Callithrix jacchus: one gene and its partner. The protein of the gene in region 2 purifies or fractionates together with the protein of the main gene of each other region. This does not show direct contact. Links are inferred from orthologs where the notes say so. Each region holds a gene or a part of one and is shown on either strand. Other genes may lie near its edges.

Region 1 (8,598 bases), on a different chromosome or scaffold from region 2:
AAATAACTTGGCCAAATGACAGCCTTCAGTCTATCCCATTTCAACCACTGGGCATACTGTAGTACCAAGGTCTACATCCTAGAACAGCTAGGAACACCATATCCAAAGGCCTAGAAACCAAGACCCCAAACGTAAAACGATCTTTAAAATAACAAACGGCAGTGGGTTATGTAGTTCAGCCCCCTCTAGACGCTACAGTATCAACTCAACGTAACTTTGTGCTTGAAAACCTCCAGAAATAAAAACATCTGCCTTGGTTCTGTTACTGAACATGCTAATGGCTAAATTTCAACACCGCTGCCCATCAACAGCAGGTGACATGACAAGTACTTATTACTGCTGAATCCTCTGCAAATAAAAATGTTTCTAATGAATTCTATGGTGCTTGGGAGAAAAACAAGATCAGTATTCCCGGGAGAGAGAAACGATGGCTAGAAGGTAATCAAAACAGAGTAAGCAGGCATTTTCAAAGCTTTAATTAATAAAAAGAAATTAATATTGACCGGAAAGACACCCACCCCACAGTGCCCCTCAGGCATTAAGGCACTGTAAGGAGTGCTCCCTTCAGCACGCCAGGTGCACAGCTAAGTTTAGCAAATGTTGACGCTAACTCCACCCGCCTCTAAAATCTTCTCATTGAAGAACTTCCAAGAGGAAGGATGAATAGCCCATGATGCCACTGTTGACAGCTTCCACAGATAATTTAAAACCCTTCCTGAGTCTCCAACTGCAAGGAATACGAAAACACGGTAGAGATGACAAAAATACAGATTACTGAGCCCTCCAGACAAAAAGATGCCAAAGAGGGACGAAAAAACTACACTGTAGGTACAACATACACTGCTTGGGAGAACTAGCATCTCAGAATTCACCACGATCTAATGCATGACGCCACCAAAGACTGCTTACTTGAAAGTTACTAAAACATTTTTTTTAAATAAAGAATTTCAAAATAAAACTTCAAAAATAATCTCGAACAGGAAGTTTGCACACAACCAAACACAGCAGACAGCACACTGGTCTGGATGGGACCACATGGGGCTGCGCACATGCACATACCCACCGCCGTTTACCAAGGAGTGTTCATTCAGCTTCCTATTTTCAAAGGCACTCAACACTAGAGACTGTCGAATTTACCAACAACTGTGATTGACATTAAACGCTATTACTCTCCCAAGTCATCACTTACTTAAGTGACGCTATCAATGCTCAAAGCATGTTCCTAACTTTTCAGAGCTGCTCTCACGCACACTTACACACTTAGACTGAATTATCTAGAAATAACTTAATAGGGTTTAAAAATCAAAGGTGTAAGATTTGAGAGCAACAAATATGTTTCCTATTCTATTACTAACTTAATAAAATTACACTTCTATGAATGGAAGAACAGAATAAAACTTTCTCAGCCAGGCATGGTGGCTCACGCCTGTATTCCCAGTACTGGGAGGCAGAGGTGGGTGGATCACTTGAGGTCAGGAGTTCCAGACCAGCCTGGACAACATGGTAAAACCTTGTTTCTAATAAAAATACAAAAATTAGCCGGGTGTGGCAGCACACACCTATAATCCCAGCTACTCGGGAGGCTGAGGCAGGAGAACCGCTTGAACCTGGGAGGCAGTTATAGCAGAGGTTACAGTGAGTCAAGATCATGCCACTGCACTCCAGCCTGGGTGACAGAGCAAGACTGTCACAAAATTTAAAAAAAAAAAAAAAAAAAGTGATTTTCTCAAATGCAAATGAATGCTCCCTCCCCCTCAAAATTCTCACCAAAGAGATACCTTAGGAGTCAAACGCACTTTACCAGTAACATCACGTTGAGCCTACTGTTCAGAGTTGCATAAAACACTCCACAAAGTCCAGAACATCCACGCGTTTGAAAATGCTGTGGCAAACTTCCTCCTAGCTGACTTCAACATTACAGGACAAGGCTTTTCGTTTTTACGTATTCTTTCTGGATGTCTCGAGGCTGCTGCACTGACTTATCCCACGCACTAACGAAAAATATAAAACCTGAAGTCCAGAGCATCTACCTGAATTTCTCATTTAGTAACAAAGAAGCCACCTGTCCAGGTAGCATAAACAAAAGGATGCTCTATAACCCTCCGATTCCAGTTGTGAGGTGAGATTTACCACACTAGAGGGCGCTTCCTGTTTTCCTGCATGTGCCATGGCTGCATACCTACCTCATCCAGAGATGCCAAGTGCCGCGTGATACAACACAGACAAGCACATCATTCGTGTTCTTCTTGTAGTTCAACTGTCCCCAAATACTTAACTGTTTCTATGCTGTTTTGAGCACCTATGAAATTCCTTACATTTCTTATTTTGGGTGACAGCACGTCAGGTTCCTTAGAGGCTCTGGCATATCCTGAGCAATCTCCATGCCCTCCTGCTATGCCAGCACGGACGTGCTGTTGTCAGGGCAATGTCTATCCTTCTAGTAGCTTTCACACTGTTTAGTTCCAAAACAAAACAGAGTTTTTTAAATTAAAAGTCTAGTTCAAAATTCACTATGGCTAGAATTCTAACTACTAATGGTAATCAAGAAAGATACTACAAACTGAGAAACAAAATACCTTTATTTTTGCTCACTCCTAAATCATTCCATGACTGTACCATACATACTGTCCATTAAGTGTTTTGTGTTTTTTTTTTTGTTTTGCGAGACAGAGTCTCCCTCTGTCACCAGGCTGGAGTGCAGTGGCATGATCTCGGCTCACTGCAACCTATGCCTCCCGGGTTCAAGCAGTTCTCCTGCTTCAGCCTCCTGAGTAGCTGGGATTACTGAGGCGCCCACCACCACACCCAGCTAATGTTGGTCAGGCTGGTCTCGAACTCCGAACCTCAGATGATCTACCCACCTCGGCCTCCCAAAGCATTGAGATTACAGGAGTAAGCCATCGCACCTCACTCCATAAGTGAGCTTACATCAATCAAATCCTAAAAACTAGAACATACTTTAAGAGTGAAAATTATAAAGTAGTTTCTTCCCACCCCTGTAGAAATGTTAACTGTAATTAAATGTTTAGTCGATTGCTAAATAGGAACTCACAATATGAAAATCTTCATATACTCCAAATATACTGAAGAAAATGTCTATATGTAACTGAGGTGTGGCATCCACCGGAATGAACATCACAAAACGCTATGGAAGTGACACTAGGGAAGCCCAGGCACAAATCACACACGGACACAAGAAGGCTCCAGATCCCACTCAGGAAGAATGCACCAACACATTCAAATTTATTTTCTTTTTTTTTTTTTTTTTTTTTAAGCAAATGACAAACACCCGGTTTACCAGCTTTACTTTTTTAAACCTAAGCTTAACATTACATATTTAAACAATTGTCAAAACTTACTAAGTTGCCAGCATTCATGCACAACTAGAAAACATCCGTAATTTATATTAAACCAGAAATGTATTACCGTTAATGCATTAATATCTTTCACTACTAAATACTGAAAAAAATGGAAATTATTTCTGTAGAAGATTCGTCCTGGCCATGTTAACTTCACAGCAGGCCGACGCTACGTGGCTCACAATTTCAGACACAATGAAAAGCAGGTCCATGCTGGTGTTAGTGTACAATCTTGTCCTACACTAAAGAGTCAAGACTCACCTTGGAGTACGTTTAATAAAAAAGCAAAGTGCATACAGAGATTTACAACAATTTTAAAGACAAAAAAAAAATGGTCCTATTATGTGGTCCCAACAATAAACTCAAAAGTCTATGACAAATAGAGGCTCCGATGAGCTGTTTATAAATACTTTAGGTACAATTATACTGAAAGTCGAGTTCGTTTGAAATCTTCAAAAAAATGTTCCTGTTAATCCTCAAATGGTGCTTGTTATAGTTTAACATTTCTGTTAAGCGCGTGCGTTGAATTACTTGTTATCCAAGCGCCGCAGCTGCTCCTTACCATTTATTGTTAAGGACTTTAACTGGCCGTCTTCTTCAACCTCTACTCTTTCTTCACCATTCTCGACAATTCTGTAGGAAAAAATTCATTTAAGAAGCTTTTTGGTAACATAAATACATGTGTGAGGGTAAATAAGTATGTTTTAAGGACATTACTGCAGTACACCATGAATATAAGTAATTTCTAGGCTGAAAAAAACATGGCTGAAGCCAACCTGTGAACAATACATCTTCCTTTCCTAAAACAGAATTATCCTGACAAAAACAAATTGTGTCTCTGATATTCACTCATTCAGCTGTTCAGGTGAATGTTAAATAAAGGCACAGATAAAACAGGAAAGGCTTTATTATTGATTTTCCATTTTACCATTTTAACACTGCCGCGGAAACTTACTAAACACATTATTACACATAAAATACGGCTCTAAAGATTCCTTCTAATAAATCAACTTTAACTAAAGAGAAAAAGCCTTCATGAATGCATCTGTAGAGTAAACGGTTTTTCACGGTGCCAGATGGGGCACACAGCCACATGTGTGACTTCACACTCTGGGAGATGTGGTGCCAGATCCAGCACACTGCCACCTGTGTGACTTCACACTGGGAGATGTGGTGCCACATGGGGCACACAGCCACCTGTGTGACTTCACACTCTGGGAGATGTGGTGCCAAGATGGGGCACACAGCCACGTGTGACTTCACACTCTGGGAGATGTGGTGCCAAGATGGGGCACACAGCCACGTGTGACTTCACACTCTGGGAGATGTGGTGCCGGATCTGGCACACTTCACGCTCTGGGAGATGTGGTGCCACATCCGGCACACAGCCACGTGTGTGACTTCACACTCTGGGAGATGTGCAACAGGGCACCAGTGAAACGTTATGCCTGCTTACTAACAATGTGCAATACCGAATGCTACAGTACCTCTTTGTAGTGATTTTTCTGCCATTGACTATTTTAGTTGAAGTCGATACCGATTTGAAGTTGCCCATCCCACTACCAGCAAACGATGCAGAAGAAAATGAAGTGAGGCCTCCGTGACCCAGTGACCCAAAGGAAGTAAATCCTACAGGAAAACAGAAAAGAAAATGCTTAGAGGAATATGTCAATCACTACTGCAAAGATTAGAGTTTGAAAATTCACTAGTAGATTATCTAACGTTAAGACATGGAACCAATGAGTAACACACCAGGCACTAATAAGGCCTCCAGTGAAGTGCTGTGGTCCCAGGGGAAAAGACCCTCTCAAATCCCTCAGCGGGGGTTCCAGGGGAGCACGAGCGCCACAGAGCTTCAGGGCAGCCCCTCTCTGTCTCCTCACACAGACCGTCAGTGCCAACATGCCACAGGCCGGCCCTGCTCGTGGGTGGTCTGCTTGGCACGACAGAGCACGTGTCATCTGCATTAACGTTAACCTTTGAACCAGGACTGGTATTAAGCTCTAACCAGCAGACCAGCCTCAATATTAAGCTATGTTGCCTCGGCGTGGCCTGTCAACTCCACGGGCTGTGATGGATATCCTTATCCGACACCAACAGAGTAACCTCACCACCACAGAATAGCAAACCTAACTGGCTTCCCTTTGCTTTGCCACAGGACCACAGAGAATAAGAAACTAACTAAAAAAGCTCATTTGAGAGGGAATGTTACAAGCATTCATCTGAAAAAGCTATGGTTCTACAGTTCACAGGCACCATTCTCAATTACACGTTATGGACGCAATCACATTGTGGACACTAAAAAGCTTGATACATCACACTAAAGCAAACTCTTTTTGGTATTAAACCTGGTCTACTGGTTAGAGTTGAATACTCACGTTGCTTCCAAAATGCTCACATTAACACAAATGACGCATACTCTGAACATGATTCATCATCTACGCCCTGACACTGTCTAGCACTCATGGTGTCCTGAAGAACTATGTGAGCCAGGTATGTTAAGTTTACCTTTTCTAATGAGTTCACTAAAAAGCAGAAACTAGTGAAATTAATTTCAGTATTGAATAGAGTATATCCAAAATATTTCAGCTGGAAATTTAAAAAATCAAAATTGTTCGCCGTATTTTACACTGCTTGCCATGCTCAGTCTTTGAAATCCAGTGACTGTTTCACACTCGCACTGATCTCCCTGTGGAGTCGCCAGGCCTCCAGGGCTCAGGAGCTACATGTGGCTGGTGGCTACTGCGCTGGTCTAGATGAAGCCTACCTAAGTATTGATTCTTATGATACTTTGTAAGGCACCTCAGAAGTGGGGACAGCTTGCTGCACAACAGCCCCACACAGGAGCCACTGAATACTTTTAAAAAGGACTATTTACATGGTATTTTTAACCTGTGGTCAGCATATTGCATCCTATCAATGAGAGGCTCTGTTGAGGGAAAGCACATCTGAACTGAGGTCCAATCGAGCAGACTTCACTATCTGCCTAGCTGCATGAGCACAATGTTGAAAGAAAATAAAACTCTGACCTTATGAGGGCGGAATGCTGTATTACAAGCTCTCCCAATTCTTACCGTGAAGGTTTAAACATAAAAATGAGAGAATCAAAACAACAGCTCCAGGCCACATGTGGTGGCTCATGACTGAAACCTCAGCACTTTGGGAGGCCGAGGCAGGCAGATCTACCTGAGGTCAGTTCAAGACCAGCCTGGCCAACATGACAAAACCTGTCTCTATTAAAAATACAAAAATTAACTGGGCCTGGTGGTGCACACCTGTAATTCCAGCTACTCAGGAGGCTGAGGCACAATAATCACTTGAACCCAGGATGCGGGAAGTTGTGGTGAGCCGAGATCATGCCACTACACTAAGAGGGCACCCACTAAAAGTGAGACTCTGTATTTAAAAAAAAAAAAACCAAACTCCTCTGTGAAGAGACACTGGATGAGTTTGAGAGAAAAGTGGGATTCTAATTCTTCAGGCTTAACACACATTTTCATATTGCTCCAGTCTATGAGCAGCGTTTCCATCAGTGGGACACTCCGAGGATGCTACCCATTTGTGTACTTTCATTTTAACTGCAAAGGAGGTTAGAAAGCATGAAGGTTAGTTGAGATTTTCCAGGTGCGTTACTTTCCATATACTAACCCAGAATATACATTCTTTTAAACTAAGAATTTCATTGCATTCTCATCCTGCATATCGTATTCACAGTAAGATTTCCAAGGACAATCGTAGGAGATTAGGAGAAAATGGAGGTTATGCAGCGCAGATCTGTGCACCAAAACAAGCTGGCAAATTCTACAATGCTATGCTGCAGAAGGAACACACAGGCCGGGCGCGGCGGCTCACGCCTGTGATCCCAGCACTTTGGGAGGCCGAAGCAGGTGGATCACTTGAGGTCAGGAGTTCGAAACCAGCCTGTCCAACATCGCGAAACCCCATCTCTACTAAAAAAATAAGAACATGTCTTCTGTGGATAAATTATATCATGTCATTTAACAACATTGAGCATTTTGATATGTGTTCACTGAATTTTAAAAAAAACCTTAATTTCATTATTGTTGACTTTCCCCTCTTTAGTTTTACTAGCAATGGCATCCTTTCTAGGATTAAAAACATTTCATACTAAAAAAAAAAAAAAAAAAATTCTAGTTCTCTTTCTATTCCTGCCACATCTGCATGATTTCCTCCACTGAAGTTCTGAACTCCTCAGTCACCCGTGAGGAATGGAATCAACTTCTTCCCAAACTACTGCTCAGGTTGATACTTTCACCTCCTTCCTTCCATGAATCACACTGTTCTTAATGCCATCTAAAACTATTGTTTTTTTTTTTCCCCAGAAATTTTTTCATTGACTTTGCCCAGATCCAGCAAAGGAAAAACTATCTGTGACAGCTAATGTATTATAAAATGTATTTCTTAAGTAAGACTTGGAAGTCAAAAATTAGCAGGGCATGGCAGTGCATGCCTGTAATCCCAACTACTTGGGAGGCTGAGGCAGGAGAATCGCTTGAACCTGAGAGGCAGACTTAGCCAAGATCATGCCACTGCACTCCAGCCTGGGCAACAAGAACAAAACTCCATCTCAATGGAAAAAAAAAAAAAGAATACACGTATTTTAAAGTGCTCTAACTAAAAGAATATTACCCTTATAAGTACTAACTGTTTTTATTAAGGCAATAGAGATTAAATCTAGGGATTTAATACCTGTATCAAAAGAAGGAAATGCACTTCCAAAAGATGGAAATCCACTGAACGCAGAGAAGAACGCCCCCGTCCCTCGGCTTCTGCTTCCTCGGGGACCCCTTCGATTCCCAAAGAACTCCTCAAAAGGGTCTTCTAAAATCAAACACAAACACACACGATGAAGTCTTTTTTCCAAGTTTTTTTCCTCATGGGATAGCTACAATAAGAGAAAATAGATGAATGTTTTTTAACATATTCAGAAACAAAAATTTAGAAAACAGGTAGTAACAAAACAGTGTATCTACAGAGTAACTGAAATACCATCTCACCAACAGTTTTGCTAGTTGAATTCAACACATTATATTCGAACACATCATATCAAATGAATTAAATTAAAAACAGCAGGTATACACACACACTTTACGGAGCATCGATATGCACTTCAAAATCAGCTCATTTCACATCATTTACATCCTGCTACAACCACTGCATAAGTGTGAAAAGCTTCACACTGAGGCTGTCTTATTCCCTGGAGTCTGAATTGCCTTCT
Region 2 (8,598 bases):
TCAAATTTTAGTAGTTAACTACACCTATGTCCCCAAACCTGTGATACTTCTATAGACAGTCTATCAGTCCACAACTTTATAAAGCTCTAGGAATGCTTATAGAAAACTTACTCCTCCTGGAGCTCGACGGGTTTGAGTTGAGGCCTGAAAAACCTTTGGCGGTTCATCTCCTACTTTGGAGTAAGTCATAACTGAGGAAGAACAAAATGAATGTCCATTTGGATCCACTGAAAGTTGACCCTACAGGTAAACAAATTGTAAATTCAAAGTCGGGTCGAATATAAATAATTATTGCCAGAGAGTTCAAATAAGTAACAACACTAGCTGTAAGTTCTGCCTAAGGATACTAAACTACCAATATGGTGTAGCCAAAGGGCACATCCAGGTTCTCAAGTGAGAAATAACTTGAAAAATTACCACAAAAAAAAAAAAGGCATCCCTAGAGGCCTAATGGTCATCCATTTTGGGTACCATCCCGCTTGCCTTATGTCTCACTCGGAGATCCTTAAGTCTTTGGGTGCTTGTGGCTCAGATTTCAATAAAGATGCTATGCCCCCAAACTTGTGACACTTCTATATTCAGTGGTTGACCCTTTTGTGTAATCTTGCCAATCAAGCCAATTAGTTATACATCAAGTTTCATACCTCTTCCTGTAGATGCCAGATTGCTACATTACTAAAACCAATAATGCCCTAGATTATTTGGGCATTCTGAAATGATCCATAGAATTCAAATTGGATGACTAGAATGATTTGGGTCTTCTTCAGATCACATCAAGTGACTGGTTTTAATGTTAAGTAGAAAAGAAAGAGTATTACTATAGTACTAGTTTATAAGTATTTGAACTATCAGGGTTTTATATCTAAACAACATTCCCAAAATTTCTGTTTTCAGAGTTATTTATAAAACCCTAAAACATAACTCTTCAGATGTTACAAATCCTTTTAAGTAAACAGGTTAATATTATTAATATTAACAATATTAATCCTTTTAACTAAACAGGTTAATTTTATTGTTAATAACCAATAAAATTATGCAAATTCATATAAAATGTTCATTTACAATAGTGACTTTCAGTAGATTCAATGTTTTTGAGGTTAACTTTTTTCCAAATTTTTTTTAAATTTTGAAAGTCAACATTATTTTTCAAACTTGGAGGTTATGAACTCAATTTAGTAGGTTGTAACCAGGATTTTTAAAACATGAAATACACCAGAAAATAACTATATATACTGTAAAGAGTATAGTCATTTTTTTCATGAAAATTTTACTTCAAATACATTTATAAAGTATACAAATATTGCTTATTCGGTTAATCATGTAAAATATCTTTTTAACCACTATGGTTAAAAAAGTTTGAAAGCCACTATGAAATATAATATACCAAAGTATACACAATGTTCTCAATGCTTTATTTTTAGTACTTACAAAGTTTCTTTCTAATTGCTGCACACGGTTTCTCATATTTGACAACATTTGGTCCACTGTCTGAAAAGGGCTGACATCTGTATGCTATAGAATATCAGGAAATTTGTTATCAACTATAAGTACAACACAAAAGATGCAAATACATCTTCCAAAACAGCTAAATTTTTTTTTATTCATTTAGTAGAATCTCATGCAGTAATCAACCAGACAAAGATAACTTAAAGAGCATAAAATAACAGCGATTAGTTAAGGAGAAAACTGAAGCATACACAAAATCCCAAAGAGGCAACATACAAATAATTAGGGAATTGTAACATTATAAATACATATATGCACATGTGTATATATACACATATACATGCGCATATATATACAAATACACACATACACCTAATCACTCATTGCTCACTTTTCAAAACAGAATTTGGTATATGTTAAATACTAAGTGATATATTTTCTAGCATAGAATAGTTTTCATAATTTTCCTTATCTCTCAATGCTCCACCATGCAAATAAATAAAACTTGGGTATAAGATGCCAATGTCAGCCAGGCGCAGTGGCTCAAGCCTGTAATCCCAGCACTTTGGGAGGCCGAGGCGGGTGGATCACAAGGTCAAGAGATTGAGACCATCCTGGTCAACATGGTGAAACCCCATCTCTACTAAAAATACAAAAAATTAGCTGGGCATGGTGGCGCCTGCCTGTAATCCCAGCTACTCAGGAGGCTGAGGAAGGAGAATTGCCTGAACCCAGGAAGCGGAGGTTACCGTGAGCTGAGATCGCGCCATTGCACTCCAGCCTGGGTAACGAGAGCAAAACTCTGTCTCAAAAAAAAAAAGATGCCAATGTCACCCCCACCAGTACTACAAGGATCAAAGAAGCTGCCCCTCTGGTAAGTAGACAGCCTTCCTCTATTCATAGTAGGATCCAGGTGACAGAAATCAATTCACTTTACTAAATAGGCCTTCAATTTTCTGCCTACTGAAGGGTCAGTAGGCTACACCCTTGAAGTATGAGGTATGCTTCTTCAGAAAAACAGTTAAGAATTCCTCTAAACAGTAGTTTCTCAACCAAGATTGATTTTGACTCTCAGGAGACATTTGGCAATAACTATACTCATTTTTGGCTGTCACAGGTGAGGAGAGCATGTAACTAGCATTTAGTGGATGGCGGTCAGGGATACTGCTTAACATCCTACAATGGATAGGACAGTCCCAGAACAAAGAATTACCCAGCCCAAAATGACAGTAGTGCTGAGGTTAAGACACTTTGTTCTAGGAAAATCTACCACTGATTTTAGGTTTCATCACTGGAAGACTCGCCAGCAAATAAAAGTCAAGCACACATTTCAATGTGTTACCCAGTAAATCATCTGTTATAAAATAGAAGGAGTTGCTTGGTTTAAGGAACTTCTCTGTTCAAGCAAGCAGAGCGCTGAATCTCTAAGGCCTGTTTGTGCCTCTGCCTTCTATTGCTATTGGATTTTTACATATATTAACAATGGAAAATAGGTGGGAAAACCAAATTCCTCCTAGAAACCTGCACTTAATATAGTTCGGAACAACAAAGGCACATTTAGGAAGTATTAATATATATTTGACTACAAAAAGGACTGAAGTAGAGTTTAATGCTAGACGGAGAATCCGTTCTTATTTCATGAGATATGGAAAGGTTAATCCAAAGGAGAAATAGACAGAAAGGAAAAGATCAGACATTGGGGTATGTCTGCCCTCTTCTCAATTCATGTTCAAATCAACCACCAAAAGATGTGTCTGCACCCCTTGCTCTGGGGTGACCCAACACACTAGAGTGACAAAAAGTTTGGGTACAAAATGGAGTTGAGACTTCAGTGGGCCCTTAAGGCTTTCAAAAATTTTGTACACAGGGCCATTTTGTCAATTTTATTTACAATATTCCCAAAACATATATAACAATTTCTGGCATTCAAGAGGGTTTAACAAATATTTGTGGAATGAATGAACAAATTATCTCTAGCTCAGCTCAAATCCATATATCCAATAGTTTACCAGATAAATCTCCCTGGAAAACCCCAGATGTCTCAAATGCAAAACACCCAAAACTAAAATGATGGTTTTGACTACTCCACTCTTACATCTATACTGAACCAATGCCTTATCTCAGTGGCATTCCTACCTCATTCTTTGTGCCAGAAAAATGGGTGTGATACTCCCCTTCTCCCTCTCTATTGCTCTTTCAACCCTACCAATCACTAAGTTCTAGCCATTCATCCTTTTAACCCTCTCTTGAATGAAATAATTCATTTTTATCATCATAGTCATTACTAGTAGAAGTAAGTCATCACTAATACTTTATCCAGAATTCTTCAACAGCCTTTTGACTTCACTGCCTCCACTGTAGTCTCTTCTAATCTTTCAAAAATCTGACTCTATTACCACTTTGACATTAGTCATCACTGCTTCCTCTGCTATTAAGATAATGTTTACTTTCCTTCCTATGGCCTAAAGAAGTCTCTGGTTACCACTTCATCATCATCAGTGTCTACTGTTCAACTTACACTCTGGGGCTAATTGATTCTGAACAACTTTAGCTACCTAGCCTCCAGGTCTTTGCACAGGTTGTTTTCTCTGTGTTGAACAGTATTCCTTTCCTCTCTCTCCTTTTCTAGCTAACTGCTACTAATCCTTAAGTTTCAGGAAGTCTACTTGGATTGACCCACCCCACCTCAAAAGGTGCTTTTTCCGATCTGTGCTCCCTCCCATAGCATGCTGAACTTCCTGATCATTTTACTCATAACTCTGTGTTATAACTGCTTTTGTCATTTGTCTTACTGAATACTCTGGTCAGGAGGAACAAATGTTATGCCTGTATGTTAAACTTCAAGGAAACAAATAATGCAACTGTAGCACAAAAAATTTTTTTAAAACTCTTTTCATGAGACTGTAGATACAAATGTTCCAAATTCATGTTATTTTCTGCTACTCCCTAGAATGCGTTTAGTGTGCTGGAAGCTAGCATCACAGACACAGCACAAAAACCCTAAGAAACAGGTGGTAGAAATGCTGGTTGCAGAGTAGCCATTCTTAAGTACAGATAAGAAAAAGCTGCATGGCAAGCTGGCAGCAAAATCCTAGACAAAGCAGTCAATCTGTGCTTTTCCAAATGCTGTGCTTATCTATCTACAGTTTAGTACCTTTTTTTTTTAACCTTTTGGAAAGTCATCATAAGCATGTGAAAGTCCCCAGCTTTCAAACACAACTATGAGAATCCCTTTTGTAAATCAAGCAAATATTCATCTATTAATATCTACTTTTTTTGAAGATGAATTTTATATATGTTGAAATGACTTACTTCAGGAAACATGTGCCTAAACTTTCTAAGGTAAGTTTGATACATGAAACAGAGGTTTTCAGTACAAATATTAAAAAGCCATTATGAAAGTGAGATTGCATGCCAATTTAGTCAGTCAGAGTTAATGAAAAATAAGTATTTGTCAGAAAATATTGCTAAAATGATTTGTGTCTGATACGAACCATAGCACCAAAACTGCCAAAAGGCACAAGAGAACAATTCATTGCCTGGAAAAATATCCAATTAATTTTGATTATGACATTTATTATATAGAAGTTTCTCAATTTACCAATTAAACGTTTACTGAGTTTCAAATATCTACATTTCAATTGCAGAAATTCATCTTTATAGAAACCCCTGAGGACTTGTTATCTTAGAGCTATCATTCCTGAGGCTGAAAAAGTGACAGAAATAAAAGAGGCAAAAAATAATGGTTACAATGTATAAATATCCTGTTTTTTTTTTAAAATGTTTAGTTGAGTATATTTGTAGCCTCTAGCTTTGCTCTAAGGCAAGACACATGAAAATATATTGCAGTTGCAAGACTTTTGAGATACAATTAAAGGTTAATCTAAGCTTTGAAAGTCCATAGGTAACCATATGGAATATTGCCTAAACTTTTTTATATTCCAATAAAGATAATCCTTTGCAGCTTTTGATATTATTTTCAAGTATTAAAACAATTCGTATGGGAGAGAAAGGACATTTCCTTGCCTGTTCTAGTTTCAGATATGGGAGGAAATTATAAGGTGAGAAATGTATACATAAATATAAAAAATAATGGTTTTAAGTTTGCCTTGTAATATATAACCCTATGGTCCTCAAAGTTTTGGTAGCACAGTGGAATTCTATATTGCTGACAAGTCGCTATTCAAGGATTCAGCTTTCCAAAGGTCCCCCCTTTTAAATAAGTTATTTCTATAACAAGAATATTAGTTATATCATATCATTATAGATATATACTTCTATAGTACTCTTCTTCAAATTCCTACAGGTCTTTCTCACCAACTGTCTTTGGGAAAAAAAGAACTTACAGTCAAAGTATCTTCATCATCATTACGTCCTCTACGATTATGAGCTCTCCCTCTACCATCAGAGATACTGGGCAAATCTCTTCCAAAGGGTTCAGAAACACTTCTCATCATCTGTCGCATATTTTCTTGGTGTGCAAGAATGGATTCACTGTTGAAAATATACATAATCAAGAAAGATTCAGGGTTGGAATTTAAATAAGTAGGCAGCTAAATGCCACAAAGAATTATTTTGGGATGTTTGTTAAAGAGATAAAAGAAGAATAGAATAGAATTCTATTTTATTCAGAAATAGGATAGAATTATCTCACAAAGATCCATTTTTTAGATGGTTCCCTACTTACAATGGTTCAAGTTAAAGTTTTTTGACTTTACTGTTGTATGAAAGCACTATGCATTCAGTAGAAACAGTACTTCAAGGACCCATAGAGCCATGCTGGTTTTCACTTTCAGTACAGTAGTCAATAAATTACATGAGATATTCAACACTTTATAATAAAGTAGGCTTTATATTACATGATGTTGCCCAACTGTAGGCTAATGTATATGTTTCGATGATACTCAGTAGGTTGTGTATTAAATGAATTTTGATGTGTAATATTTTCAACTTGCTATGGTTTCATTGGAATGTAATCTCATCGTAAGTTGAGAAGCATCTATGTTGATAAATAAAATTAATGAAAACCTGTTATTTTCATCTACTATAATTCATTTAATGCATAATAAAAAATACACCTTTATCCCATATTGCATAAAAATGGTAAACACAAAGTAACATGTCTCAGGTTGCTTAAGCTAAAAGAAATGGCAAATAAAGTAATCTGAAAAATACTGTTTTCAGGTAGAGTCCATTTTGGGCAGTCAATAATATAAATTCCAGAGAGGATTAATAAATACTGACTGGTTTATTTTTTAACTCTTATGTAGGAAATATAAGCATTGAGAACTATAGCTATGTTATGACCATTGTAAAGCTATATTTTTAAATAGACAAAGTCAAAGCTACAGATGTTTACGAAGCTAACTTTCTAAAAACTCTTAAATACTAGGAATCACCACATAACCAAAATATCTGTACCAACAGTGAGATGGTTAGCAATGCAGATTCCTATCTACCACTGCCACCCTCCCTACCCCAATCAAATTCACTTGCTCTGAATATGATTTGTAGACATGCATCCCTAATAATTTTTTTTTTTTACATAGGGCATCATTCTGTCACCTAGGCTGGAGTGCAGTGGTATGATCTTGGCTCACTGCAGCCTCCACCTCCTAGGCTCAAGCCATCCTCCTGCCTTAGCCCCCCAAGTAACTGGTACTACAGACATATGCCACTGTGCCTGGCTAATTTTTATATTTTTTGCAGAGATGGTCTTGCCATGTTGCCGAGGCTGTTCTCAAACTCCTGAGCTAAAGTGATCTGCCCACCTTGGCCTCCCAAAGTGCATAGGCAGGTGCCACAGCACCCAGCCTCCTTGATGATGTTAATTCAAGTAGTCCCTCAACGACCTTTGAGAAACAGTATCCCTTCTGTGTTTGTGCCTCCTGAATTAATTAGAACCTGAGCCTCTCCTCCTGAGCCTAAATTTCCTGTTGTAGAATAAGGGTAATATTGCATATCCCTGTTCTTGAAATTAAATAGTGGAATCTGAAAGCACAAAACTGAGTATCTGAGTGAAAATATGTTGAATAAATGTCAATTTCTCTTATCTCCTCTTCCTGACTCATGTTTGGATGTCACTCTATTATTCTATCATTTAATACTCTCATGAAAAAAAAGAGTGATTTATTTTAAAAACACAGCAGGAATTACAGGCGTGAGCCACCGCACCCAGCCCAATGCTGAGGCAGGCAGATCACGAGATCAGGAGTTAAAGACCAGCCTGACCAATATGTTGAAACTCTGTCTCTGCCAAAAATACAAAAATTAGCCAGGCATGATGGTGCATGCTTGTACTCCCAGCTACTCAGGAGCCTGAAGCAGGAGAATCGTTTGAACCTGGGAGGTGGAGATTGCAGCCAAGACTGCACCACTGCACTCCAGCCTGGGCAACAGTGTGAGACTCTGTCAAAAACAACAACAACAAAAAACAAAACAAAACAAAAAAAACCCACAGCAAGGATCACATTTCAGGCTCTATTCTGTGTGCTTTATAAATATCAACACTATAATCTGATGTTAACCAAGACTTGTTCATCACAAGTCTTATTGAAGAATCTAAATTTTTTTTTTTTACTTTATCACAATGGTTTCCCAACTTTGTTCCAGCTGGACAGTTACTGATGCACTAGTCAATTTCTTATTCCTCATTCTAGAACTTAAGGTACACCATGATTTCTGGCAGTCCAATGGAAGCCCCCTCTTCCCAATAGTCTGGCCTACTTTCACACTTCTCCATTTCAGTTACATTTTTCTTAAGTCACCCTTTCTCCTTCTAATTCCAATCCTCTGATGTCATCATGAAGCTAAAATTTTCCTTGCAGCTCCAGCTCAAAGGAGGAAGCTAAAAAATTCTGTCTTCTGCCTGTAATTCCAGGTAGAAAGAACATTTTCTCTGAATTTCACAGTATTTGCATACATAAACCTATTCCAAAAGAGCTCAGATTTATTCATACATTACCTTGGAAGTCAAAAAAAGCATAACTGTTCCAAGTGTGAGTTGAAGATTAGCAAACTGCTTAACTGGATTTGTGCTTGTGTGTGTAGACAGGTGTTTTCATTCAGCCTGTTTAGGCATAATTTACATATAATGAAATTTACCAATTTTAGTTGTACAGTTTGGATTTTAACAAGTGCAGAGTCATAACC

Evidence for each region.
Region 1: the proteins of MLF1 (region 2) and DNAJB6 purify together in Homo sapiens (affinity purification with mass spectrometry; 3 studies listed by BioGRID and IntAct, counting the BioPlex papers as one, with this or other methods). This does not show direct contact. The link is inferred for Callithrix jacchus from reciprocal best matches to the Homo sapiens genes MLF1 and DNAJB6.

What each region holds. Positions count from the first base shown.
Region 1 is NC_133512.1:90,873,008-90,881,605, forward strand, and holds part of DNAJB6 (dnaJ homolog subfamily B member 6), read right to left. Parts: intron 8,202-8,598; coding exon 8,070-8,201; intron 4,989-8,069; coding exon 4,847-4,988; intron 3,993-4,846; coding exon 3,922-3,992; intron 1-3,921. UniProt on the Homo sapiens protein: Has a stimulatory effect on the ATPase activity of HSP70 in a dose-dependent and time-dependent manner and hence acts as a co-chaperone of HSP70. Plays an indispensable role in the organization of KRT8/KRT18 filaments.
Region 2 is NC_133518.1:26,941,262-26,949,859, forward strand, and holds part of MLF1 (myeloid leukemia factor 1), read right to left. Parts: intron 5,941-8,598; coding exon 5,793-5,940; intron 4,986-5,792; coding exon 4,941-4,985; intron 1,513-4,940; coding exon 1,429-1,512; intron 241-1,428; coding exon 112-240; intron 1-111. UniProt on the Homo sapiens protein: Involved in lineage commitment of primary hemopoietic progenitors by restricting erythroid formation and enhancing myeloid formation.